Alligator mississippiensis: one gene and its partners. The protein of the gene in region 3 interacts with the protein of the main gene of each other region in a pairwise test. Links are inferred from orthologs where the notes say so. Each region holds a gene or a part of one and is shown on either strand. Other genes may lie near its edges. The genes, in order: CDKN2C, SLC23A1 and AHCYL1.

Region 1 (3,748 bases), on a different chromosome or scaffold from region 3:
GTTATGCACACATCTGTACCTTTTATACCGCACTATGTGCACGCATCTTGTGCAACATATGTACATGTTGTGCACGCATTTGTACATTTTATACCACACTATGTGCATGCATTTGGTACCATTTTGGTACATGTGCATGCATTTTGTGCCACGTTTGTACATTTTATACCACACTGCACGCATTTTGTGTCACGTGTTGTAGCGCATGTTGTGCACACGTTTGTACCTTTTATACCGCACTATGTGCACGCATTTTGTGCCACGTGTTGTGCACGCATCTGTACCTTCTATACCACACTATGTGCGCACATTTTGTGCCACATTTGTGCATGTTGTGCACGCATTTTGTGCCACGTGTTGTGCACGCATCTGTACCTTTTAAACCGCACTATGTGCATGCATTTCGTGCCACATTTGTGCATGTTGTGCACGCATTTTGTGCCATGTGTTCTGCACACGTCTGTACCTTTTATGTGCACACATTTGTACCAGGCTTGTGCGTTTCGCGCGCGCACGCCGCGGTGCTGCGGAGCGGCGGCGGCGGCGGCGGCACGGCCGGGGTGGGAGCCGGCGCTGCAGGTGCTCGTGCTGCCTGGCGGCCGATGCTCGGGCCGTGACTCGCCCTCGTTTGCACCCTGCGCGTGTCAGCCATGCCGGAGGCTCCCCCCCGGCTCGCTTTTGCGCCGCACCCCAGACGGGAGGGGGCGGAGGGCGCTCGCCGTCCCTCCGCGGCATCCCCGGCGCCGACCCCCGCCAGCCCGCGCTCCCCGCCGGCCGGGCCCCCCCGCGCCCGCCGCCTTTGACCTTGGGCGGCCGGGGCCGCGGCCTGCGGCGGGAAGCAGTGCGCAGGCGCGGCCGCATCTCCGCGGAGCCTCCTTAAATCCGTGCCGTTAAAATGTGGGCGGGAGCTCGGCTCAAAAAGCGCCCAAAGTTTTTTCTTTTCAAAAAAAGCCGAGGAGGTGGCAGGAGCCGCGGCGGGCGCAGCCATGCGGCCGGGCGCGCAGGGGCGCGGAGCGGGGCGCGCAGCTGGGCGCGCTCGCCCGGGGCGCCGCGGCTTGGCGGGGCCGTCACGTGTGATCGCGGGGCGGGCGCTTGGCACGGGGCGCTTTTACGAGTATTTACTACGAGGTCCGCTGCGGGCGCCCAGCCCTGCCCGGGCTGCTGCGGGGCGCCCATGCCCTGCCCGGCCGGGACGGGTCCCGAGGCATGGCCGAGCCCGGCGGCGACGAGCTGGCGTCCGCGGCTGCCCGCGGGGACCTGGCGCAACTCGCCCGCTGCTTGCAGGAGCGCGATGGAAACGTGGATGCGCGCAACCGGTTCGGGAGGACGGCGCTGCAGGTTGGTCTCCGGGCTGGGGGGGGGGGGCCCCATTCACGGCCTTTTTTTGGAGGGGGGTTGCTGTGTTTTATCTCTGGAGCGGCTGCAGCTGCCTGGCATGGCGTACTTGGAGGAAAAGGGGGCCACGGCGTTGCTCGCAACGGGGCTCCGGGTGTAAGAGCCGCGGGGGAGGAGGGCAGGGCAGGTCTGTCAACACGGCGGGGTTGTTCTCCGGAGGTCGCTTTGCTCTTCCTTCACCCTGTGCCTTTCGACACGCGCCCATGGGGTGGGATGGGGCTTTTCCTTCCTCTGCTGCCGCCGAGCCAGCCTTGACCTCTGTGCCGTGGCAAACACGCCGCCCCGCGCGGGCGCTGCCGGGCGGGGGTCCCCGTCCAAACCCCGCTTTCCAAGCGGGCGGAGGGGCCCGAGAGGGCAAGACCGTGGGTCTGCATCTGCAGGGATGAGGTTTGCAGACGGTCGTTGGAGCTGATCCAAGTCCTGAGCACTGGGGCTGATGACAGATTTTTTTTTTTTCTATTCTTTTAAGACTATCATACAATGAAGACGAAAATGAGGGAAGAGAGGCAGACACAACCCCCCCCACCACCCCAAATAGACAAGCCATTGATAACCGAAGGGGAAATCTCCTCGAGTGGCTGTTTGCACGCCAGACAGGGCAGGGGAACGTGAAATAAGAGCCGTGGGCGGGGGGGGAGGGGGGTTATTCTCGAAGTTTACACTTTAAAACATAGTTTCTATTTTAAAAAGTGACAAAACGGTGTGCACTTTTGAAATGTTTTCAAACAACAGAGGGATTGCAACTCGAATGACAGCTATTTACTCAGCTTTGGCTTATCATCAAAATGTAGGGTCTCGAGAATGAGAATCTCTTGTAGGAACACAACCTTGATTTCCTTTTTACATTTTTTTCCTTAAATTCAAGGACTGTCAAATTGTCCCTGCGCTATTCGCCCAGATACAGGCGATTTACTGCAGACACTGGTGACACCTTGGCAGGGAAAGGAAAAATGTGACTCAAAAAGACACCCATCCTAGCTGCTGTAGGAAAGCAGGAAACCTGTATCTAGATTTTTATCCACAAAAGGAGGCTGAAAATCTGAGTTGCAGTGCAAAAGAGATATTTTTTCCCTACAAATATCAGCACTCACTGCATGTGGACTGGGGAATATTTTACAGTTCCTGTGACTCCTGGCACTATCACCCACTTTTTATTGCAACTGAATCGTAACCGATGTAGTGAACCACAACAACAATCAGAACAGGGGAGTCTGACTACTTGTTTTCAGTTTGTATAATCCTGAAACATTTTGTGGGTGAGTGACCCAGCTCAAGAAAGATTTCTGTCGATGCAGCCTCGATATTACTTGCTCTGGAGTCCACCAAATGAAAGTGAGCACAGCGCACGTTGTCTCCTGCTGCTCGTTTCAACACAGCGATTCAGCATTGTCTTCCTCGAGTCTGTGCTTTTCTGTTTGACGAGGCAAACCCATGGAGGCCTCGGCTACAGACTTTGCTAATGCATCTTCCTCACAAATGCTTTCTCCTGCCCCGATTCCCGCCCCCCAGAGAAACTTTACAGCCTCAGCTCGGGTTAGAGCCCAAATCCAAGTACATTAGATTTATTCTTTTTTTTCCCCCCAGCTTTCTTGTCTTGGTTCCCTTGCACGTGTATAGCCCCCTCCCAAGCCTCGTAGGGTTCTTGGGTGCTCACAAAACACGAACAAATACGTCTGGGTTGTACTAAAAATACTGTGCACTTATTTTCCTGAGAGATAAATGTACTTTCTATAATCTCCATCCAGAATTAAAAGAAATGGCAGGTAACCTGCACAAAACTATCTCAGATAAATACTTTTCTGCAAGCCCCAAACCAGCCGAGTCTATTTGTCCCCACCTAAAACAGACCATGATAAGCTGCTATATAGTTTCGAAATGCTGCAGCAATGATGTGTGTTGTGAATGCCTTTTTTTATCAACTCGAAATGCATATTATTATTTTTTACAGTAGCTTCAGGTTTTCAATCCATGCCTTCTATAAACTGTAATTTATGCTTAATGTAGTGCAACTGTCATCCTTGTTTATGCTAAGAAGAGAAAGAATCGTAATAAGATTTTCAAGATTGAGAATTAACATGTTAAATAAAGGAAACTTGTTCAGAGCAGTTTTTCATAATAAAACCGTTTAGTTGTGACAGCAAAGTCTCGAAAAAAAGCACTGTCCTCAGTACGGGGACAACTGTGAATTAATTAGTTTCATTTTATGAAAGACCGGGGGAAAAGAAGTTCTTGGGAATTCCTGAAGCATTTGTGTGAGTTAGCTAAACCCCCAGTCAGACCCCAATATATCCGTGTGCTCAGTGCTAGTGGTTTCATGTGCTCAGACAAGGGTAAATATATCAATTTTACATGT
Region 2 (3,748 bases), on a different chromosome or scaffold from region 3:
GTAGTGGCCCAGGTACCCTTAGCTGAGCCCTTGCCTCACCTTGTTCTCAGGGACCGGCTCCTTCCCACATGGATATTCAGCAATGATCTCAGGTGTCCTGTCATTCAGAGCAGAAGGAGGGTTGCCATTCTGGTGTCAAGGGAGATATAAAACAAAGGAAGTCACTATTTATTTAAGCTGTTCCATGGGGAAACTGTAGGCCAGAAGGCAGGCCAAGAGCAGGTAGTTAAAACCTTCAAGTCTGGAGATCTTCAGAAAGCACTAGAATGCATCAAAACATTTGGAGTTCATTCAAGAACATCTGAGATAGATAAGGAAAGCATGCAGGATGGTACAGCCAAACCTGGTACAATAGATATGAATGCTATGAAGGAATGCTCTAATTAAATAAGTTCATTAATCAGCAAACTGTAAGGTGTTGGCACCAACTATGATTGATGATGCGTGGGCAGTGCTGCAGGCTGATGTTAAGTGCTTCTAACATATAAAAACAATAGAATACAAAAGCACCCTGGATTTGTGTTTAACCCTGCACTATCACCAGTTTGATCACCTGGCTGGTAGTATGAATGAAGGCTGGTAGTATGAATGAAGTTTATACTCACTGAAAGCTGCTGTGTGCTTATATGACCTGTGTTGGTTTCGTTAGTACATAGCAGGGCCTTGGAGGCAACAACAAAAACGGTAGAGAAAGCAACAGCACCAAAAGATCAAATGCGAAACAGACAGTGCTGCTGAGTGCTTTGGAAAGGGCGTGTGATGCTGCTTCCTATTGTGTTGGCTGCTCTAGTCGAGCAAGCTCAGGGAATCCATAGAAAAGGACCCCGGCATGAGGGAGCCCCCAGAACTGGTTTGAGTTCCTTTTGTCAAGAGCAAGCATCACATCCCAGCCTAGGTAGCCATGACTTACATTTAAAGGGAATGGCAAAACAAGATAGACTCAAATGAACATCTCAGAGGGAGAGCAAAGTGAGCGTCTCTTCTCTGCAACATGCTACATCACCCCACAGCATATCAGATGGCCAAGCTTTATGCCTACATACAGACACTGTATCATTTTACCTACCTTAGTACAACCCCTCTGCTTCAATATGCACACAGTTAAACTGGTATGAATATCTGTGTTCCACTATAACAATCTCTACGTGGGAAAGGACATGAGCAATACTAGAATAAGGCACTTTCAAAGCAGAATAGCTGTGTCCACACTAGGGTTTGTACTAATCTAATGATACTGGTAAAATCACAACTCAGTGAAAAAAGATAAATTGGTACAAAAATCTGGGTGTAGATCAGACTTTGGAAATAAAAAGGTACAAAACAAGGAAGCCACAAACAGGACAACTGAATTGCTGCAGACATCTCACTAACATATATAAACAGAGTTAAAATAATAATCATCCTCTTCCTCACTCCCATGTAGCACATTCAGAGACCCTTACAACAGAGTAGCTACTCAGAACACCCTGAGCAGTGCAGCCATGCAGTAAAAGAAGCAGTATTTGACTTAAAAAGCTTTGTTTCTGTGGCATCCTCCCCAGCATGGAAAGTGGACCATAAATAAATGTTAATGTGTATTATAAAGGAGTCGCTCAAAATCCCTCACAACAGGGGCCCACTCTTACAAAAGGCTGAGGGGAAAGATCTGTGCCTTTAAAACCCAGTATTTTCAGTGAAAGCTGCAGATGCTCAGCTCCAAACAGGATCAGGCCCTGGACTCTGCCAGTCACTGCAAGCTAAAATCATGTTCCTTGCAAATTTACTTCAGAATAAAACCCAGAAGCCCTCACTTCCTTGGATCCTTTTCTTCCTTCTGTCATTCTTACCCTGGCAGGGGGAGGTGAGGGAATGGGCCTGATGCTTATAGCTCTTCTCTCCTGTGCCCTTACTGAAGCGCCTCCCAAGAGTTTCCAAGTCTTTTGCTGAGTTGCAGCAGCTGATCAAGTACAAAGTGAGGCTGGGTGGTTTCCCTGTGCTGTGTTAAAGACAAGGCTGGCGTAAGGGGAGGTGGGAAAGAGCAGGAAAGAAGGGAACTAGCAACAGCAACAGCATATGCGTGGACCTCATGTGTTTCAGGTGATGGCCAGCAGTCCACTCCTGAGTGGCAGGTTGGATACCTCCCCCACTGGGAGCAGAGTGGCTTCCACTCTTTCTCCAAGCCAAACCAAGCCATGGGCAAAGCCCAGCATTAAGGGTCAGTCTGACAGGTCACGTTGTGTGGAATCTGTCTTCCTGCAATGATCACATTTAAAGTTGCCTTTACCTTCTGCCTCTGGTCAGCAGCATACACTCTCAGATTCTCCTATTCCATTGCTTATACCAGCCCCTTCTCATAACCAACGCAGATACCTGCCATCTCCTTCAGATGCAGTTATATCAAATACTCCTAAGCAAGGAAACTGATACAGATGGTGGGAGAAAGCGAGAATATGGTAAATGCAGACAATGTGTTCACCTTGGTCTGAGGTAAATCCTCCGAACTCTTCCCCATTCTCCTGCTGAGTGGTGCAGAGATTGCTGCGGAAAGAAGAGCTGGAGTAGTTTTTATGGTAGTGTGGAGGACTTTAGTCAACATATCAGACATTGTTCATGGAGTCAATCTATAACTAGAGCTATTGACTGCTGATTGTGAAATATAGGAGAGGTGTGTTTTTGAAGATCATCTATTAACTCCATTAATCACAGGAAATGAACAACCCTTCCTCACATTTATCAGTTTTTCACAGCAGTGTTGTAAAACATTATAGAGAGATGAGTTACAGTGTAATTGACTGGCTGAAAGACAGTTCATAAACAGACTGGAATAGAAACTGCCCTAAGCAGTTCATCCAAAGTGTGTGAGGCTGATAAGGAGCAGCAGTGGAGCCAAAGCAGCTTTCTGCAAGGGGTTGGGACCTCTGTGGGAGTGAGCATTTTGAAGTGCACACTCCTGAGAGGTGGCCTCAATTGCAATGTAAATCTGCAGAGAGGCAGACTAGAAAGTGGGCAGAGCTGCAAAGCATGGTGGGGGCAAGCCCTAGAGTTTGGTTTGGCCCCTTATTCAAGTAGAGGTCCAGCTGTGAAACTCCAAAATGCAGTGATCAAGAATGTTTGAGCCAGCTGTGTTCCTCTAAACCAAGGGTGGGCAAAATATGGCTCGTGGGCCTGATCTGGTCCACCAAGGGATTTATCCAGCCCACAGTGAGTCCTTTGATCCTACCTGGCCCAGGCATGGGGGGGCAGTCCTGGCCATGGTGCATGCTGCAAATCCCACCACCCCGAGGCATGCAGCAGGGCAGGGGTGGTGAGGTGCCTGGACTCTACTTCCCAGCAGCCCCTGCAGCGGCCAGCTCCTTCTGACTGCCATTGCCAGCATCGCCACTGTTGCCAGCCCCGCCCTGCTGCCTGGGCACCCTGGCCCACCCACTCTGCACCCACTGCCGGGGCACCAGATGGAGTGGGTGGGCAGGGTCTCCATGGAGACTGGCCCAGGACCTATGTGGGCAGGATGCACTCAGCCAGGCGGATGGGATGGGGCTGTGGGTGGGCGAGGAGTGGTATCTTGGAGCAGGACAGGTAGGTGGGAGCCAGGGGGGCTGTGGCTGAGGCCAGGATTGTGGGGTGGTGACCGCGCAGAGCTGGGGCCCAGGGCAGAGCCACGATCCACTGCCTGCATGTCCCTGCGATGGGCAACAGTTCTGTTTGCAGGAGAGTGCTGGGGGTGGATCGGGCTCTGCCCCAGGCCCAGCCCCATGCTGTCATTGCCCCA
Region 3 (3,748 bases):
TACCAGCTGGATCGCTCAGGCTGCCACAGTTGGTTGTTTCGAGGAGCATGCTTGCTTCTTCCATGACCAGCTCTTCTCTCAGTCTAGCTCCTGTCCGAGAACCTCCTCATTAATGGTCCCCACCTTTGGGCGCTTTGCCTGGGAAACTGAACACACTAGCAACCTGTCTGCATGAACATGGAGGGATGTTCACTCCTATCAGCACTTTCACTGCACACTGGTGCTCACAGCAAGCATAAGCATAAGCCTCCCCTTTGAAAAGCTATTCAGTAAGAGTTAGTACAAAAGAGAAAGCACCCATACCAATGCCCCGGGGATATTCCCAGCTTCCCCCATCTGATCTTCAATGCACCCTGCCCCTTAAAGAATCATTTGCCCAGAGGATGTCAATCAGGGCAAGGATTTGATAACTTCCCTGCCAAGTTTGGTTTATTTCAGCATTTTTAATACCATACCTGCTAGGGACCTCACTCCTCTGATGAAACCATAGCAGGAAGCTCTCAGCTATTTTCCTGGAATTTCTAGATAAAGGCGATGAGCTTCGAAGCTCACAAAGGAGACGCACAAGACACTCTGCCTTGCATTAAAAATAAAGAAGGGTCGCAAAAAGTAATAAGGCCTTTTTCCGATTATGATTTTGATACAAAGCAATCTGAAGATGCCTCGAGCTCCGAGACAAGCCGCAGACCCTCAGCACTGGATGCTTCAGAGCAGCGTTTCTCAACCGGTGAGTCGCGACCCAAAAGTGAGTCACAAGAATATACGAAAGGGTCGCGAACAAACTTTAAAAATGGATCAACACACTTTGAAAAGAAAGGAGAAAAACATGGGCAACTGTGGCTTTTCCCTTGCAGGCTGGCAGAGGTCCAGCCTGCGAGGGGCTGCTTGGGACCCCCTTGCCTCACACCCACCCACTGCCCCACACACTGAGGGGCTGGGGGCAGTGGTTTGGGACTGGCCATCGAGGTTTACAAACGGGTCCTGGTACAGAAAAGGTTGAGAACCGCTGCTTTCGAGGTTGCCAGTGCCTCTGCTCTTCACAATCGCCAGATGGGCCTGGAGCATTCATCCTTCAGGGCTGGCGCTCGTTACGTTATCAGCCTCAAAGCTCATCTCATTGCATGCCCTCCAATGCTCGGGGCAGTATTACAGCGAGATCAAGTCAGCAGCACGACCCAAGCACAGATTCATAGATGCGAGGGTCAGAAGAGCCCTCGACAGATCATCGAGTCCAACCCCCTGCCTGGGCTGCAAAACAGCCTCTACCTACACCCGCAACGTCAAGCGAATACCTCTACGGGCTCACCGACCCCTCGGCCTGACGGAGGAGCATCCCCAGCACGGGTCTAAAGAGCCTTCTCCACGCTACCACCACCTGCCGGGGGATGCTAAGCGCCAGGTATCCCTCGGGCAGTGCCGACATCGGTTTCCCATTGGTTTCACAGCTCTCCGGTGAAACTGGAACAGCTGGAAGGAGTCTGGCTCCCGCGCTCCAGCTGTGGCTGCACCTCTGGAACGGCAGGCAGGGCTCCTTCGCCCAGGCCCGAGCCAACGCCGCCCGCGCTGGGGGAGCCCCCGGCTCCTCAATCCCCAGCAACCGGAGGCAGGTTAAGCAAGCGCCCCGGGCGCCGGGAGACGCCCGAAAGGCGAGCGGGCGAAGCACGAGGCTGGCACAGCCCCGGTCCCCCCAAGTCAACCCCAACCCCGCGGGCGCTGGCTTAACCAGCTGCCCCCCTGTTGCAAACAGACCGAGCCGTTATCCCGGGATAACCCACGCCGTCCCGGGGCAAGGTGGGCAGACACCCACACCTCTATCCTGGAGTAAACCCTTGCTGCCCCCTTGGTGGGGGAGGAGAGGGCAGCAGGGGTTAATCCCGGGATAGCCCCACACAGGGGAGGGGAGGGGAGGGGAGGGCAGACCACCCCCCCACAGGGGTACCTTTTTGGGCGCCTTGGTGACCGTGGCCATGAAGTTGAACTTCTCGGCGTCCTCGATCTCCTTGGCCTGCTTCATTTCGTCCCCGCCTGCCGCGTCCGGCATCGACATCCTGGTGCTGCAAGCCGGGCCGAGCCGAGCCGAGCGGAGCCGGGCGCGGGGACTCGAACCCGCGGAGTCGCGGGGCTGGGTGGGGGGGGGCAGCGCAGAACTCGTGCCCACCCGGCCGGACCTCTGCAGGCGGACTGCGGCCGCCGCACGCCGCGGGAGGGGGCGGGGCTAGGCGGGCATACGTCAGCACGCACGGGCCGGCTTAGCGTTGGCACGCATGGGCCGGGCAAGGGACGCGAGGGGGAAGTGCTGGCAAGGGGAGGTGGTGCGGAGCCCGGCTGGCTGGGTGCGACCCCTGGAGGGGAGGAGTGGGGCGTGCAGCAAACTGTGTGCAGAAGGGGCAGCGCTGGTGGGCACTGGACATTCAGGGGCATGCTGGGGCTGGGAGCCCACACTGCTGAGTGTGTCAGACTGGGCAACTATGTGCCAGGAGCGTGGTGTACCTTCGTGGCGTGGGATGGTCCCCGTGCCCCCAGAGATGCCAGTCTAGATGTGCAGGTTGCAGATAAACCCAGCAAAGGCCCGTGCCCAGCATCCTCCCGCCCCGCTTCAGGGTGGCATCTGCAGGAAAGCGGTGGGAGAGGACGGAGAGGATGCATCCAACTCCATCTGGAAAAGGGACACATGGCACCGGCTGTTCAAAGTCCCCCCTGGGAAAGTTAGTGGACAGGAAGAACGAAGGGGACAGCGATGCAATTGGACCTAAAGAAGGCGAGGAGGACAACAACAGGATCAGCAGCAGTAGAAGCGACATTAACAGTGACAAGGATGGGAAATGAACTGAGAAAGGGAACCCCAAATCGGGGCCGGGACTAAGGGACTGTGCTTGGGTTAGGGCAGGGCAGAGGGTGGGTGCACAGGGAAGCGGGTGTAGTTTTTGTAACAGGTGCATGGGTTTCTTAAGGTAGTTTTAAAAAGAAAAGGTGCAGTGGAAGTCTATGATAGAGGATGTGTATACATACCTAAATGTGTGTGTGTGTGTGTGTGTGTGTGTGTATATATATATATATATATATATTAATTTTTTAAAAGATGGGTGGCATCTGCAGGCTCCTTGGACTTGTTCGGGGCACTGGGTGCTGGGCCGTGCCTCTGCTCTGCGTCCCCATTGGGATCCACCTTTGGTCTTCGCTCCCAGCCCAGCAATTCCACGTGTTGTCCCCAGTGATCAGGCCTTGTGGCCTCCCTTTGACTGAGAGGGCGTATAGTTTACAAAGGGCTTGCACTCGCCATCCCTATGTGATTAACAGGCCTGCCCCCATGGCATCCAGCTTGGGATAAGGCGTGGTGGGTGGGTGCGATGCCAGTGCTGGCAAGGGCGCACTTCCCAAGCAGCCCCCAGGTGGCACTGTCACTCCTCGCTGTCCAGCTGTCATGCAGTGCCAGCCAGGCACCAGGGGGAGCGCGGCCCCCAGGGTTAGACCTGGGTGCTCAGGTCGGCTGCAGCTCAGACACCCCTGTGCTGCAGCCTGGGGACAAGGGCAGCCCCAGCCCTGGCCATCCTTGTGCTGGGATGTGGGCTTCTCCCCCCAGGGTCTTGCATCCATGTGATCTTGCTTCTGAGCTGAGCGCTCAGCCCGGTGTCAGTGGCTCTCCTCCTCCAGACCTACGGCAGGCTGCTGAGATTCACAGTCCCTTTGGCCCTCAGCTTCCCTTGCAGTGCTGCTGTTGCTACCCCTCAGTTGCAGCAGCCCTCAGCGT

The links.
Region 1: the proteins of AHCYL1 (region 3) and CDKN2C interact in binary tests that used the Homo sapiens proteins (3 or more experiments, as listed by UniProt). The two-hybrid records come from large-scale screens. The link is inferred for Alligator mississippiensis from reciprocal best matches to the Homo sapiens genes AHCYL1 and CDKN2C.
Region 2: the proteins of AHCYL1 (region 3) and SLC23A1 interact in binary tests that used the Homo sapiens proteins (3 or more experiments, as listed by UniProt). The two-hybrid records come from large-scale screens. The link is inferred for Alligator mississippiensis from reciprocal best matches to the Homo sapiens genes AHCYL1 and SLC23A1.

The regions. Positions count from the first base shown.
Region 1 is NC_081828.1:8,172,016-8,175,763, forward strand, and holds the start of CDKN2C (cyclin-dependent kinase 4 inhibitor C), read left to right. Parts: upstream 1-980; 5' UTR 981-1,206; coding exon 1,207-1,338; intron 1,339-3,748. UniProt on the Homo sapiens protein: Interacts strongly with CDK6, weakly with CDK4. Inhibits cell growth and proliferation with a correlated dependence on endogenous retinoblastoma protein RB.
Region 2 is NC_081832.1:45,180,598-45,184,345, reverse strand, and holds the start of SLC23A1 (solute carrier family 23 member 1), read right to left. Parts: upstream 2,564-3,748; 5' UTR 2,492-2,563; coding exon 2,456-2,491; intron 1,938-2,455; exon of another isoform or gene 1,827-1,937; intron 130-1,826; coding exon 40-129; intron 1-39.
Region 3 is NC_081837.1:34,575,908-34,579,655, reverse strand, and holds the start of AHCYL1 (S-adenosylhomocysteine hydrolase-like protein 1), read right to left. Parts: upstream 2,189-3,748; 5' UTR 2,048-2,188; coding exon 1,940-2,047; intron 1-1,939. UniProt on the Homo sapiens protein: Multifaceted cellular regulator which coordinates several essential cellular functions including regulation of epithelial HCO3(-) and fluid secretion, mRNA processing and DNA replication.